Arabidopsis thaliana: one gene and its partners. The protein of the gene in region 1 interacts with the protein of each later gene in a pairwise test. Each region holds a gene or a part of one and is shown on either strand. Other genes may lie near its edges.

Evidence for each region.
Region 2: the proteins of AT2G30120 (region 1) and FRI interact in a two-hybrid assay, tested with the Arabidopsis thaliana proteins (one study listed by BioGRID).
Region 3: the proteins of AT2G30120 (region 1) and RIN1 interact in a two-hybrid assay, tested with the Arabidopsis thaliana proteins (one study listed by BioGRID).

The regions. Positions count from the first base shown.
Region 1 is NC_003071.7:12,860,319-12,864,071, forward strand, and holds the start of AT2G30120 (protein FLC EXPRESSOR), read right to left. Parts: upstream 1,654-3,753; 5' UTR 1,545-1,653; coding exon 1,018-1,544; coding exon of another isoform or gene 1,014-1,017; exon of another isoform or gene 901-1,013; coding exon of another isoform or gene 888-900; exon of another isoform or gene 883-887; coding exon 707-882; intron 621-706; coding exon 529-620; coding exon of another isoform or gene 511-528; exon of another isoform or gene 361-510; coding exon of another isoform or gene 289-360; exon of another isoform or gene 172-288; coding exon 82-171; 3' UTR 1-81. UniProt on the Arabidopsis thaliana protein: Transactivator required for FRIGIDA-mediated activation of FLC and for the expression of the repressors of flowering AGL27/MAF1 and AGL31/MAF2. Does not alter expression of known activators of FLC expression.
Region 2 is NC_003075.7:267,038-270,790, reverse strand, and holds the start of FRI (FRIGIDA-like protein), read right to left. Parts: upstream 1,891-3,753; 5' UTR 1,766-1,890; coding exon 827-1,765; intron 434-826; coding exon 428-433; 3' UTR 261-427; intron 172-260; 3' UTR 1-171. Other genes in the region: KEA2 (K+ efflux antiporter 2), read left to right, coding at 3,002-3,753.
Region 3 is NC_003076.8:7,392,542-7,396,294, forward strand, and holds the start of RIN1 (P-loop containing nucleoside triphosphate hydrolases superfamily protein), read right to left. Parts: upstream 1,740-3,753; 5' UTR 1,531-1,739; coding exon 1,441-1,530; intron 868-1,440; coding exon 679-867; intron 559-678; coding exon 427-558; intron 336-426; coding exon 186-335; intron 1-185. Other genes in the region: AT5G22340 (NF-kappa-B inhibitor-like protein), read left to right, coding at 1,968-2,118, 2,205-2,377, 2,678-2,797, 2,902-2,958, 3,124-3,204, 3,292-3,326, 3,446-3,535, 3,632-3,753. UniProt on the Arabidopsis thaliana protein: Proposed core component of the chromatin remodeling INO80 complex which is involved in transcriptional regulation, DNA replication and probably DNA repair.

The DNA of each region.
Region 1 (3,753 bases):
ACTCGCTAAATAAGATACACTAAAACAAAAATTGTCAAATCAAGTATATGGCTGGCCTATTCAAACGTAAGCAAGACACTATCACAACACACTAGAATGTTGAGTATTATTCAGAGGATGCTGCAATGGAGTAGATGGGTCTTGAGAGAGACAATCCGATGCTCTATATGCCTGAAGTGTATATTTGTGTGATGTTAAACACTACTAGAATCGAACAATGTTAAAGTAAAACCGCAATCTTATCATAAGCGTTGAATTCAGTCAATTATGAGTTTACAACAATTCTCACTAACCAACGGATACTTGTACAAGTTGGACACTTACTAACCTATGAACATAACTTTTTTCCCTGAGAACTAGCTATTTTGCTAAGATATCAGTTCAGAATGTAAGACAATCAGAACTTGGTATGCCAATCATTACAAACAATTAGTCCAATCTTCTCCTTCTCCATAATAATGCTAAATTAGGAGAACTTCTAACAGATGATCACGTAAAGTTACTACTTATCTATAGACTCATGTGTACCTCATGAGTACCATTAGCCTCCGGGTATTGCCGGCCTTGACCTCCATATATATCATCGGTGTTGTTTCCATAACTTGCAGCCAATCCAGGACCTTACATCAACAAATCATCAAAACTATAAGGTGGTTTTGCAGTTAAACTGTGTAAAGCAAAAAGCTAAAAAAGACAGAGAAATTACTTGGGGTTGGAGCTGCCTCAGCAGCTGCATTTGCTTCTCTAGCTTTAGTCTCCAGATCAACCAATTCTTCCTCAAGTTTTACAATCTCTCGATTCAAATGATCGATAGTCTTCTCCATACCGCGCTCATGGTGAAGGTTACTAGCTCGTGTCTTCTTCTCCAGCTCAAGAGCAGCCCTGTTTCATATCCCAAACCTCAAACAAATTCATTACTACTCCATAAGCATCCAAAAAACCATCATATGAGTATACACTACAAGATAACAAATCCAATGTTCCAACAAAAACAACAAAGAGAATTCAAATTTTCACCTTCCTTTACGAATCTCTCCTCGAAGAATCTCAATCTCCAATTTAACCTCAATAGCTCGATCCGAATTCGGTTTAGCCTTAGCCATCTCATCATCAAACATAGCCAATTCCGTAGCTAACTCCTGTCTATCACTACCTAACCTCTGTACATCAGACCTAACCTGACCAAGCTCAGCTCCAAGTCCATCAATCACACGAGCCTCCGCCTCCATTCTCAACGCATTCTGATAAACCTCACGCACTTTAGCTTCTCCTTCCGCTTTAACTTTAACAGCGGTTTCAAGTAACCGTTCGAGCTCACGCTTAGCTACATTGAGCTGGTCTTTGAGTCCGATGTGTGCTACAGCTAATCGTTGATTGTCGTTGAGAAGAGATTGGATTTCACGGTGTTGGATTGCGATTCGATCCTCGAGGATTACAGATCGAGCTCGATTTCGATCGGATTCGATTAATTGAGATTCTAATAATCTTGAAGATGATGAAGTTGAAACTGCTGATGATGGAATATAACGATCTCGTCCGGCCATAGTTTGCGATCTCCGATAATCTTCTCCGGTTTGTGAAAGTACTTCCCTAATTGAATTATGGTCGTTCTCTCTGTCAAAAGCTTTTTTATTCCGAGTTCGTTGTTAAAATAAGCCGTACCATCAAAAGCTAAACTGCGCAGCGCAAAAAAAAAAAAAAAAAAAAAACGTTATGAGCCCAAACTACAGTTATGATATGCTTGATTAAGCCCACTTGGACCAAACTAAGCCCAAATCAGAAAATTTGAGGCCGATTCAGACGTTGAAGGAATAAATTACTAGATACCTAGAGAAAGTATGTGCATCTTAAACCTTACCAAAAAAAAAAAAAAAGTATGTGCATCTTAAAAATATTCATATTAGTTTAAATATTCAAAATCTATTTACTTTTAATTAAACAAAATTTAAATATAAATTATGTGTTTATAAATAAGAGTTTGAATTTAGATTTTACAATTAAACGAGATTAATTACATTTTTGTTTAAATTTTGTATAGAAAGATTAGAATTTAAATTTTACAATTAAATAAAATTATATGTCAAATTATAAATAGCACCAATGACATTAGTTCAGTATTTTTTTAGATTGAAATGATTCAATTGGTAAAGAAAATATTTGTAGAGTACTCCAAGATAACACATATCTAATGGTAACCTATTTATATACAAACCGGAATAAATGAAAAAATTAGTCTTCTTTAACATTCTTAAATATATAATCATATTCATATGGAAAACAAAAAGTAATCGTAAATTTGATTATGAAACTATATAGTCTAAGTTGGAAATTCTAATAAATAGTTTATTTTTGAAAAAAAGAAAAACAAAATCCTATACAATCTAATTTTGTATCGCCAAATATTACATTTATTAGTGTTTTTTCTAACGATATACAAGTTTTTACTGACAGAAAGTGATAATCAATGATATGCTAATTGATATCGAAGGTAGAGTTAAAACTGTAAAATAAGAAAAGACGAGGCGGCAAGAGCTAGAGTCCAAGTCTACGGATTAGCACGAAGCTCTGATGTTTCAGATTGCTTCTTTTTGTTTCTTACAGAATCTTACAGACTTATTAAATTCCGACATAAACAGAAACTCATTTCTTTCACTCATTCAACTAAAGTTTAAGCAAAAACCAAACCCTCAGGTCTTTAAAGTTTTTTTTTTTTTTTGTCCCAACTCTTCAACACAAAAGAGACTTCAATAAATTTTAACTGAACTCAGTCAAACATTGCTTCTTGTCTCCTCCCCCACCGTTTCCAAAGATTTTATTTTTTTCTTTGGGTAAGAAAATAAAATAGAAACAAAAGAGCAAATACCGAGAACCGAATCTTCCATGTCATCTCAAAGCATTTAATGATGTGCATCGAGTCTCACATGCTTATTTTTCTCCGAGGTGCCCAAAGATGTCTGTTCTCTCTTCTTCTTCTTTTTTTGTCTTCTAAAATTTTGATTAAATGTTTAGTTTAGAGAATTATTTAGTTCTTCTTTCTTTTGAATGATTCTAAAATACATTAGCAAGAAGAACCACTTCCCAATGTGACAGTTCTAATTCTAAAATATATCCCTCCATTAACACCTAAACTATTTATTCTTCCTCTAGAGTGGTCCTATTAACTGAGTCATTTTCTTTTCTATAATTCCTTTTAGTACTAATTAACTATATAGGGATTTAATGATCCTAAGCTCAAATTATATTTCCACTCGGACTTTGCATAGTTACAAATTTTGTGGGGTTTTTCTGTTACAAAAATGAAGAAGAAATACCGAGTTAGCTTTTTTTAAAAAAATTTAGCTTTCTGTTTTCCTTATATTTACTAATTCTAATAAAAAGCAAAATAATATCCAAGTCTTGACACTTCTAATCTTACCGTAAAAACATAGAGTAAAAGTTAGAAATAAAACACTGAAAATTAGTTATAAAAAAAATCATCAATTGACGATGTTGGTAGATATATCGAAATTTGGTCATTCAACTATTTAAAAATTCATTAGAAAAAATATGCTGATCATAAATATTAAATTGTAGTTCTTTTTTATATAATCATTTATTTTGTTGATTAGTAAATTTAAACTTACAACCCAAAAAAAAAAAAGATGTAGTTGACTGTTGGTTTAATTTGTAGACTTAGTTACGTTAGGGGTTGATTGTGATTTAGTCACTTAGGTTGAACTACTTTAAATATAATGAATTAAACTAATCTTGAGA
Region 2 (3,753 bases), on another chromosome or scaffold:
TCTTGCTTTCTCTTCCATCTCTTTGTCGAGCTGAAGAGTGTCTTTCTCCAAGCTAACAATTTGCTCTTTGATCTGCCATCCTGGTAGTTCTTTCGCAGGATCTAACTTGTGAGTCTCCATACACTGCATAACTGATGATAACACAGCTAGCTGCTTTGTAGCCGCTTCTTTCTGTTGAGAAATAAATATATCAATGGTCAGACTCAGATGATGATAAAGAGTTCATAAAGGTACATAATGTGCAAGGGAAGGGTTCATACAAATGCCAGCGGTGACTGGGCTTTCCGTTTTGCCCTCTCAAATGACTCCTTGCTCATCTTTAAGAATGAAGTTAGAACTAGAGCAGCTGAAAACTTATCCTCCATGCCAAAGGTATAAACCATTTCAAGAGCTTCAATATGCATTCCACGCTTGATACTTGATTCAACTATACCTATGACCAATAGAATATTGTGTAAGTACCACTTCTTAGAGTTGGCATTGCTTAAGCTTAATTAGTATCCAACAGCTAAGTCATATGATTTTAACTTCCAATATTGGAAACCACAAGAAACACTATTTCAAGGCAATAGCCTATCATTTGGTTCTGACAAGCAACAATTTCGTACCAAAACCTATGGTTGAGAGTTCCAAGTTCTTTCCAGATTAATTTCTAGCTAGGATTTGGCTCAATCAGTCATTGCACTCTAAATATTTGATGTGCTCTCCTAGTTTATACCATCAAGCTTATCGAAAAACAAAGATGGAACTTGATGTTGGTCGATGATGTCAACAAAAGGAACCACCTTTGCAATGAAATTCACCGAGTGAGAACAGAATATGGTACCTGAAACTGTGACCGCTTCAAAGCACCGGCAATCTCATTCGAACCACTCATCCTTATCAAATCCAGCAAATCTGTACTCCTAAAGTTTGAAGGAACACCAAAACAAGCAACTAGTAAAAGCAAACCCCTTGCATCCATTTTCTCAGCCGCAGCTAATCCTCCTTCAGTCATCAACCTTTTCCTCCAAGCAACAGCAGCCGTCTCCGCCTCATCTTTAATCCAACTCTCAATCTTCACCTTCCCTTTACCACGATCAGGCATTAGAAGAAAAGACTCCAGTATAAGAAGCGAAACTTGTCTCGCAGAGCTCATAGGCGACTCTTTAGTAAATGCTCTACGCCCTTGTAAGTAAAACTTGCCAATACAATCCAATACAAACTTCGCTGGCTCCTTGGCCAATTTCAAAGCTGAAGGAATCTCTTCCATTAACTTAGCTTGATCAGAGATATTCGCGTATATGTATTTACGCAGACCTTTGCTACACATCAACTCACATATACGTTCCCCCTCCGGTTTATTCGACGTCTCCGGTACAATCTCCTGAGACGGTTGGCTCACAGTGACGGTGGTTTCTACAGATACATTGTTCCGCGGAGGCGATAACATCGGCTGATGGAAATTATTGTTCCGCGCGGCGAGGACAACGCCGTTACTCTCGAGTTTGGAATCAATTGCGTTTTCGATTGACTCGATGTGCTTCTGAAGATCATCGAATTGGCGTTTGAATGTTTCCACTGCAACTGAAAACGCAGCTAATTCGTCTATGGATTTCAAAAATTGAGGCTGCTTAGATTGACCGATCGTAATGTCCATACTTGTAGACTCTGTTTCGACAATCTTCGGTAATTCTCTTCGTCGCTGTTCAGATTGATGTCGCTGCAGCAGTGGATTCGCCGTCGTTGTGGGTTGCGCCGCCACCGTCGGTGGATAATTGGACATGAGATTGCGGCGAAGAAAAAAGATTGCAGAAGCCCTAATTTCCACTCTCCTTAAATCGGTCAAATTACCAAATTTTATTGAACTGTATATTGTGAAGTTCACATAAATTATATATTAATTAGGAAGTAACCTATCTTTTAATTAGGAGAAAACGACTTTTTCCTTTGAGGTAATCGTTATATGTTTAGGGCTTTTATAGTTTTGCTTATGAAAATATGTATTTGTGTTTAATAATTTAATAAAAGTCAGATATATATACACTCTTTTGAGTCTATGCCAAATAATTGAATCTACGCACTTTTCTCTTTATTCTTTGTATTTGATTAATGAAAACATAGTTAGGTTGCATGATTACGACATGTAATATATTGTTTTAAATAGTCACTAAAGCAGTGGTTTATAACATGTCTAATCACAAATAACGGTTCTTGCTCGGTAATATGAACCCAAAAGTTACTGTCTTACTCTACCTGCACTAATGGGGGTGATGGTGTGCTCTTTTTAGTCTTCAAACACGATAATCCCATGATAAAATCCTTGTGTACTTGGTTTAAGTTGTGACTTGTGAGTACTTTTAGTTTTAGGTGGGAAAGAAATGAAAACATTGTGGGCTGACGGTACTAGGTAAGCCCAATAAGGAAAACGACTCTACGCAATCAGAGAAGGTCGCCAAGCGTACGGTCGCTCCCTCATCAACGAACAACGTCGCTCGCTTTTTTATTAATAATAGTTCACAAATATTAAAACACATTTGGAAAATGACTTGGTCACGCGCACCCAAAGGCAGTGCAAAACTAAACGAGCCACCTATCAGTAAAACGTAGCCGTTGATTCGAACCACGTGTATATTGCACGCACCACATGCGAGTACGAGTAAGAGAGTTGGTGGTATATTCACGGCATATTATATGTGCACGAATTGAATCTCTCTAAGCACGAGAGGGCATTTTCGTAACTTTCTTATAAAAAAATCCTACCACGAGTGATTGGGCAAAAAAAAACTGAAAGAGGAAAGAGAGAGTTGGACGGAAAATCTGAAGACCGCCGAGAAAAATACTGTTGAAACGGAACTCTCTTACGTTTTTTCTCAGGAGATACGTTTCATCTTCCTCTCAGTAACTACTCGATTCTCACTCACTCTCGCCGCCATTGATTCTTCATCAGCTGAAGCCTTGAAGCTCTCTTCTCTTATGATCGGTCAGTCTCTTGTTCTCTCCGTCTTTCTGCAGCAGTAATATGGATTTTGCGTCTAGCGTTCAGCGCCAGAGTATGTTTCACGGTGGTGCGGATTTTGCGAGTTACTGCTTGCCGAATCGAATGATAAGTGCGAAACTCTGTCCCAAAGGACTCGGCGGCACTAGATTTTGGGATCCGATGATTGATTCTAAAGTTCGCTCAGCTATTAGATCGAAACGAAATGTATCGTATCGTTCTTCTTTGACTTTGAATGCTGATTTCAATGGAAGATTTTACGGTCATTTGCTTCCTGCAAAACCCCAAAATGTTCCGCTGGGGTTTAGGTTACTTTGTCAAAGTAGCGATTCTGTAGGAGATTTGGTTGGGAATGACCGGAATTTGGAATTTGCTGAAGGTAGTGATGACAGGGAGGTTACGTTTTCTAAGGAAGAGAAAGACACAAGAGAGCAAGATTCTGCACCTAGTTTGGAGGAACTCAGGGATCTACTGAATAAGGCAACTAAAGAATTGGAAGTGGCTAGTCTCAACAGTACCATGTTTGAAGAAAAGGCTCAGAGGATTTCAGAGGTAGCGATAGCACTTAAGGATGAAGCAGCCAGTGCGTGGAACGATGTAAACCAAACACTTAATGTGGTTCAAGAGGCTGTTGATGAAGAGTCCGTTGCTAAAGAAGCTGTTCAGAAGGCTACTATGGCATTATCTCTGGCTGAAGCAAGGCTGCAGGTTGCACTTGAATCACTAGAAGCAGAAGGGTACAATACTTCTGAAGAGAGTGAGGTTAGAGATGGTGT
Region 3 (3,753 bases), on another chromosome or scaffold:
TATAAAAAGAAACCAATCAGAATGACAAAGTAATCAGCAAATTCATACACAATTGTCCCCACAGAATGACATCGTTAGAAAACCAAAAAGGTGAAAAGAAAAGCAGGTTTTGGAACAAACTGAAAAGCAAAAACTTAGGGGAAAATACCACATCCAAAGCATAGCATCGCATGCCAAGAACTGACCTTTTCCTTAATCAAGGCATCATAGATAGTGGGATCCAATTTCAGATGTTTGGTTCCTTTGACTGTCTTGAGTGTAATTACAACATGGCTGATGCTTTTACCATAACCTCCAGTGAGGCTTTCAGTTTCTTCTGGTGACAGCTCGGTGACCTAGAACACAAGGACAACATGTCAAAAACCAATTAGCGAGACATGCTATTGCATAAGAACACAGCAAAAGAAACCGCAAATAGCAACACACCTCCCCTTCATAGACTTCTTTGGTTTCCTTGATACGTAGACCAATGGCACGTCTAAAATTCTCCATGAGAACCTCTGTTTTCTTAACCTCTGATGAGTAAACCTCAGATCCAACCATTGGACAGAATGGAACCTGCAAGAAAGAAACAATCCAGATAAAATAAGCTAAAAGTAAAAGAAAAAAGCTTCATACAATGAAGCCATGTGGAAACAATGTAACAAAGAAGATACAAAATGAGACATCCAAAATTACCTTGCTTCCCAGCTCTTGAGAGATTCCAAGAGCCAAAGCTGTTTTCCCAGTTCCAGGAGGTCCAGCAAGCAAAAGAGCCTTGCCCGCCATTTTCTTCTGCTTAATCATGTCAACTACAAGACCAGCTGCCTCTCTAGCCTCAAGTTGACCAACAAATCCAGCTGCCAATTTTATAGGGATACCAGTTGGCTAGAAAAAGAGACGCAACATTAGCAACAGAAATGATGTACTGGTTATAGAACGAGATCACACAGATGCTTGAGAAACTACAGTCAGTAAAAGAAGCAAAGATAGTTAATTAAAATCAAAGTGCCGTGCCAAAGTGGAAGAGCAAAGGTCTTCAAACATCGGTCAAGTACTATATATTTCATAAAATACATGTATTAAAATTGAATATTTGCAAATCAAAACTAGAGTATAATTGTGCTAGAGCCGAAAAAAGAGTCTCGGAGAATACCAAACGAAGCAATGAGCTTGAAACCCCTAAAAATCATTAAACTTTAAACACAAAACCTTAAAGAACTTTGAGCAATACGAGAATACTGCAATGCATCTTATCCCCAGAAAAGTCGAAACTTTACAAATGAAAACTAGGGTTTGTTTGTGCTAGAACAGAGAAAAGAAACTCTAAGCGTAGTACCAAACGAAGCAAATAGCTTTAAAACCCTAAAAAAGCTTAGAACATAAAACCTTAACTAAACCCTAAACTCGAGCAAACTACTGGAATCCACTAGAGTCAAAGAGAGAGAGGAGAAGGAGCACCTCGAGGCCAAGGCCTTTGATATGGGTGTGAGTAGCAATCCGTTGTTTCTTAGCGGTGGACTGAATTTCTTCAATCTTTACTTTCTCCATCTCCGTCAACTACAATTACTTTGATCTGCTTTAGGTCTTTTGTTGTATTCTCCGACGACGAAAACGACGGCGGAAAGTTTTGAGCTTTATTGAGTTTGCAACGCCTCCCTCTGACTCCAAATTGCCAAAACCTCTTCCTAACAAAGTTTATATGTTAAACATGTTGTTGCAACAATGGGCCTTTATATTATCCTTTATTTACAAAATCACCCCACACTTCCTAAACTCAGAAATAGAAAGAAAACGAAAACAATTAGAGAAAAGGGCGAAACAAAAAGACAGGACTCAATAGTCATAAATGTAAATTAAGGGGTGAAATTATAATATATGAATAATAAAAGGGTCTTCTTTTTGGAAACTTTCTTTCTCTTCATCAACAATAGTGATAAGCTTCTTCTTCTGGAAAAAAACCAGAGGCCGTCTCACTCTCTCGCTACATGGAGAGTCTCTCGATTCCCGCCGCTTCTTGGTTTTCCGGCGGAACCATTCCTCCGACGAAGGTGAGAGTTTCTCCGCCGCATCATCTCCGGCGACCTCCCAACAGGAATTCCCATCGCTTGGCCGCCATTAATGCCGCTTCTCGCTCTGGTGACAATCTCTCTCTCTACATTGAACCTTACTACTCAAATGTTCGCTCTTTGTGGAAAATTTCATGTCTTTTGCTTTGTTTTTAGTGAGTGAGCTAGTGGAGGAGGATGTGTTGCAAATGTTCATGAAAGACAGAGAAGAAAATGGAGATTTCATATCTAAAGTTTCTGATAGGCTCTGGTTAAAGGAGATTCTCGAATCTATTGATGTTAATTCCAATGGAGCTTCTTCTTCAGCTGTTGAACTAGATGATACTCGGGTTAAGTTTCTTTCACTTGTTCATTAGTAACTGTAGCTAGTTTTTTTTCTTCAGTTCTAAGTTTGCTTTTGACGATTAAAATTGCTAACTTTGTATCGAGGAATAGTTTGATAGTTATATGATCCTGTTGCAATTGTTATGTGAGTGACTACATTTTTATGAAATCCAGTATTGGTTTGTGAATTTCTGAAATCTCACAAATTTATAGCTTTCATGGCAACAATCTTATACTTGGTACTGTTACTTTGGTTGGTAACTTGGTATAGCTCCTTTATTAATGTCTTTATGTTGTATATGCAGGAAAGCTTGATAGATGGCGCTGATGATGATGAAAGTGGTTTCTTGAAACTTAAACCGACACAAGAATGGATTGGTTGGGAGAGTGATTCTGCCCCCATGAATAAGAAAGCTCTAGCTAAGGTTGGTCATCTATTTATGAATGTTCTTGTTCTCTGTATTCATTCATTCACACGTCCTTCTCATTGCAAAACTCTGCTGCGTTTGTCCTACTTCCTTGATTGCAGGCACTACGAGATGACAGCGAGAGAAGGAAGAAGTTTAACTTTCTGAAATATGAAGCTGTATGATTATTCCTTTCAGTATGTTTTCTTAATTAGTCTGCCAGTCAGATCTTTATGATTCAACAAAACACTCTATTATGCAAAATGGCTGTTCAGTATGTACCAGTAGTCAATTTGTGTAGAATGAACTTTGAAATTGCTGCGTTTGTGTCTTTATTTTTGTAGCTGAAGCGTGAACTCATGTACCTGTCGATTGTAATTGGAACTGGATGCAGCGGATACTGTTTACTAGCTTTATCAGTTCAGGTAAGCTCTGTCAAAGCTCTAACCAGTTTATACTATGGCTTCTCTATACGAAAATGTGTCTGAAAGAAATATTCTGACATATGACAGGCTGCAGTCAGTTATGCAGTTGGGGTTCTATTCAGGTTAGTTGTCTATTTTAATTGGTTTGTACATAAATAGACCTTGACGTTGTAAGATATAGTTCTGCAACATGCTTGATCGAGCACTCGCGTATTCCTAACCAAATCTGATCATAGTGCAGTTGCTTGTACCTTCAGCTTTTGTATGGATACGCTGATGGTCTATCACGTGAAGCTGTTCCTGATATCTTCCTGAAAAAAAAGTCTAAAAAGTAAAGACCTTGACAACTTTTTAGTCTGGTCACGTTTTCTTCTCACTTCCCATACTCACATTGCTCTGAACTTGCTTTTGTATTGTCCCAATTCAGAATCGGGATCAGAAGTGAAGACCTTGAGGACTTTGTAGTGAGGACAATCAGGGGCAGTGGCATGGCTCTCTCTTCTCCACGCTTGGTGATACCAGCTGCAATTTATGGTTTGTGGATACTCT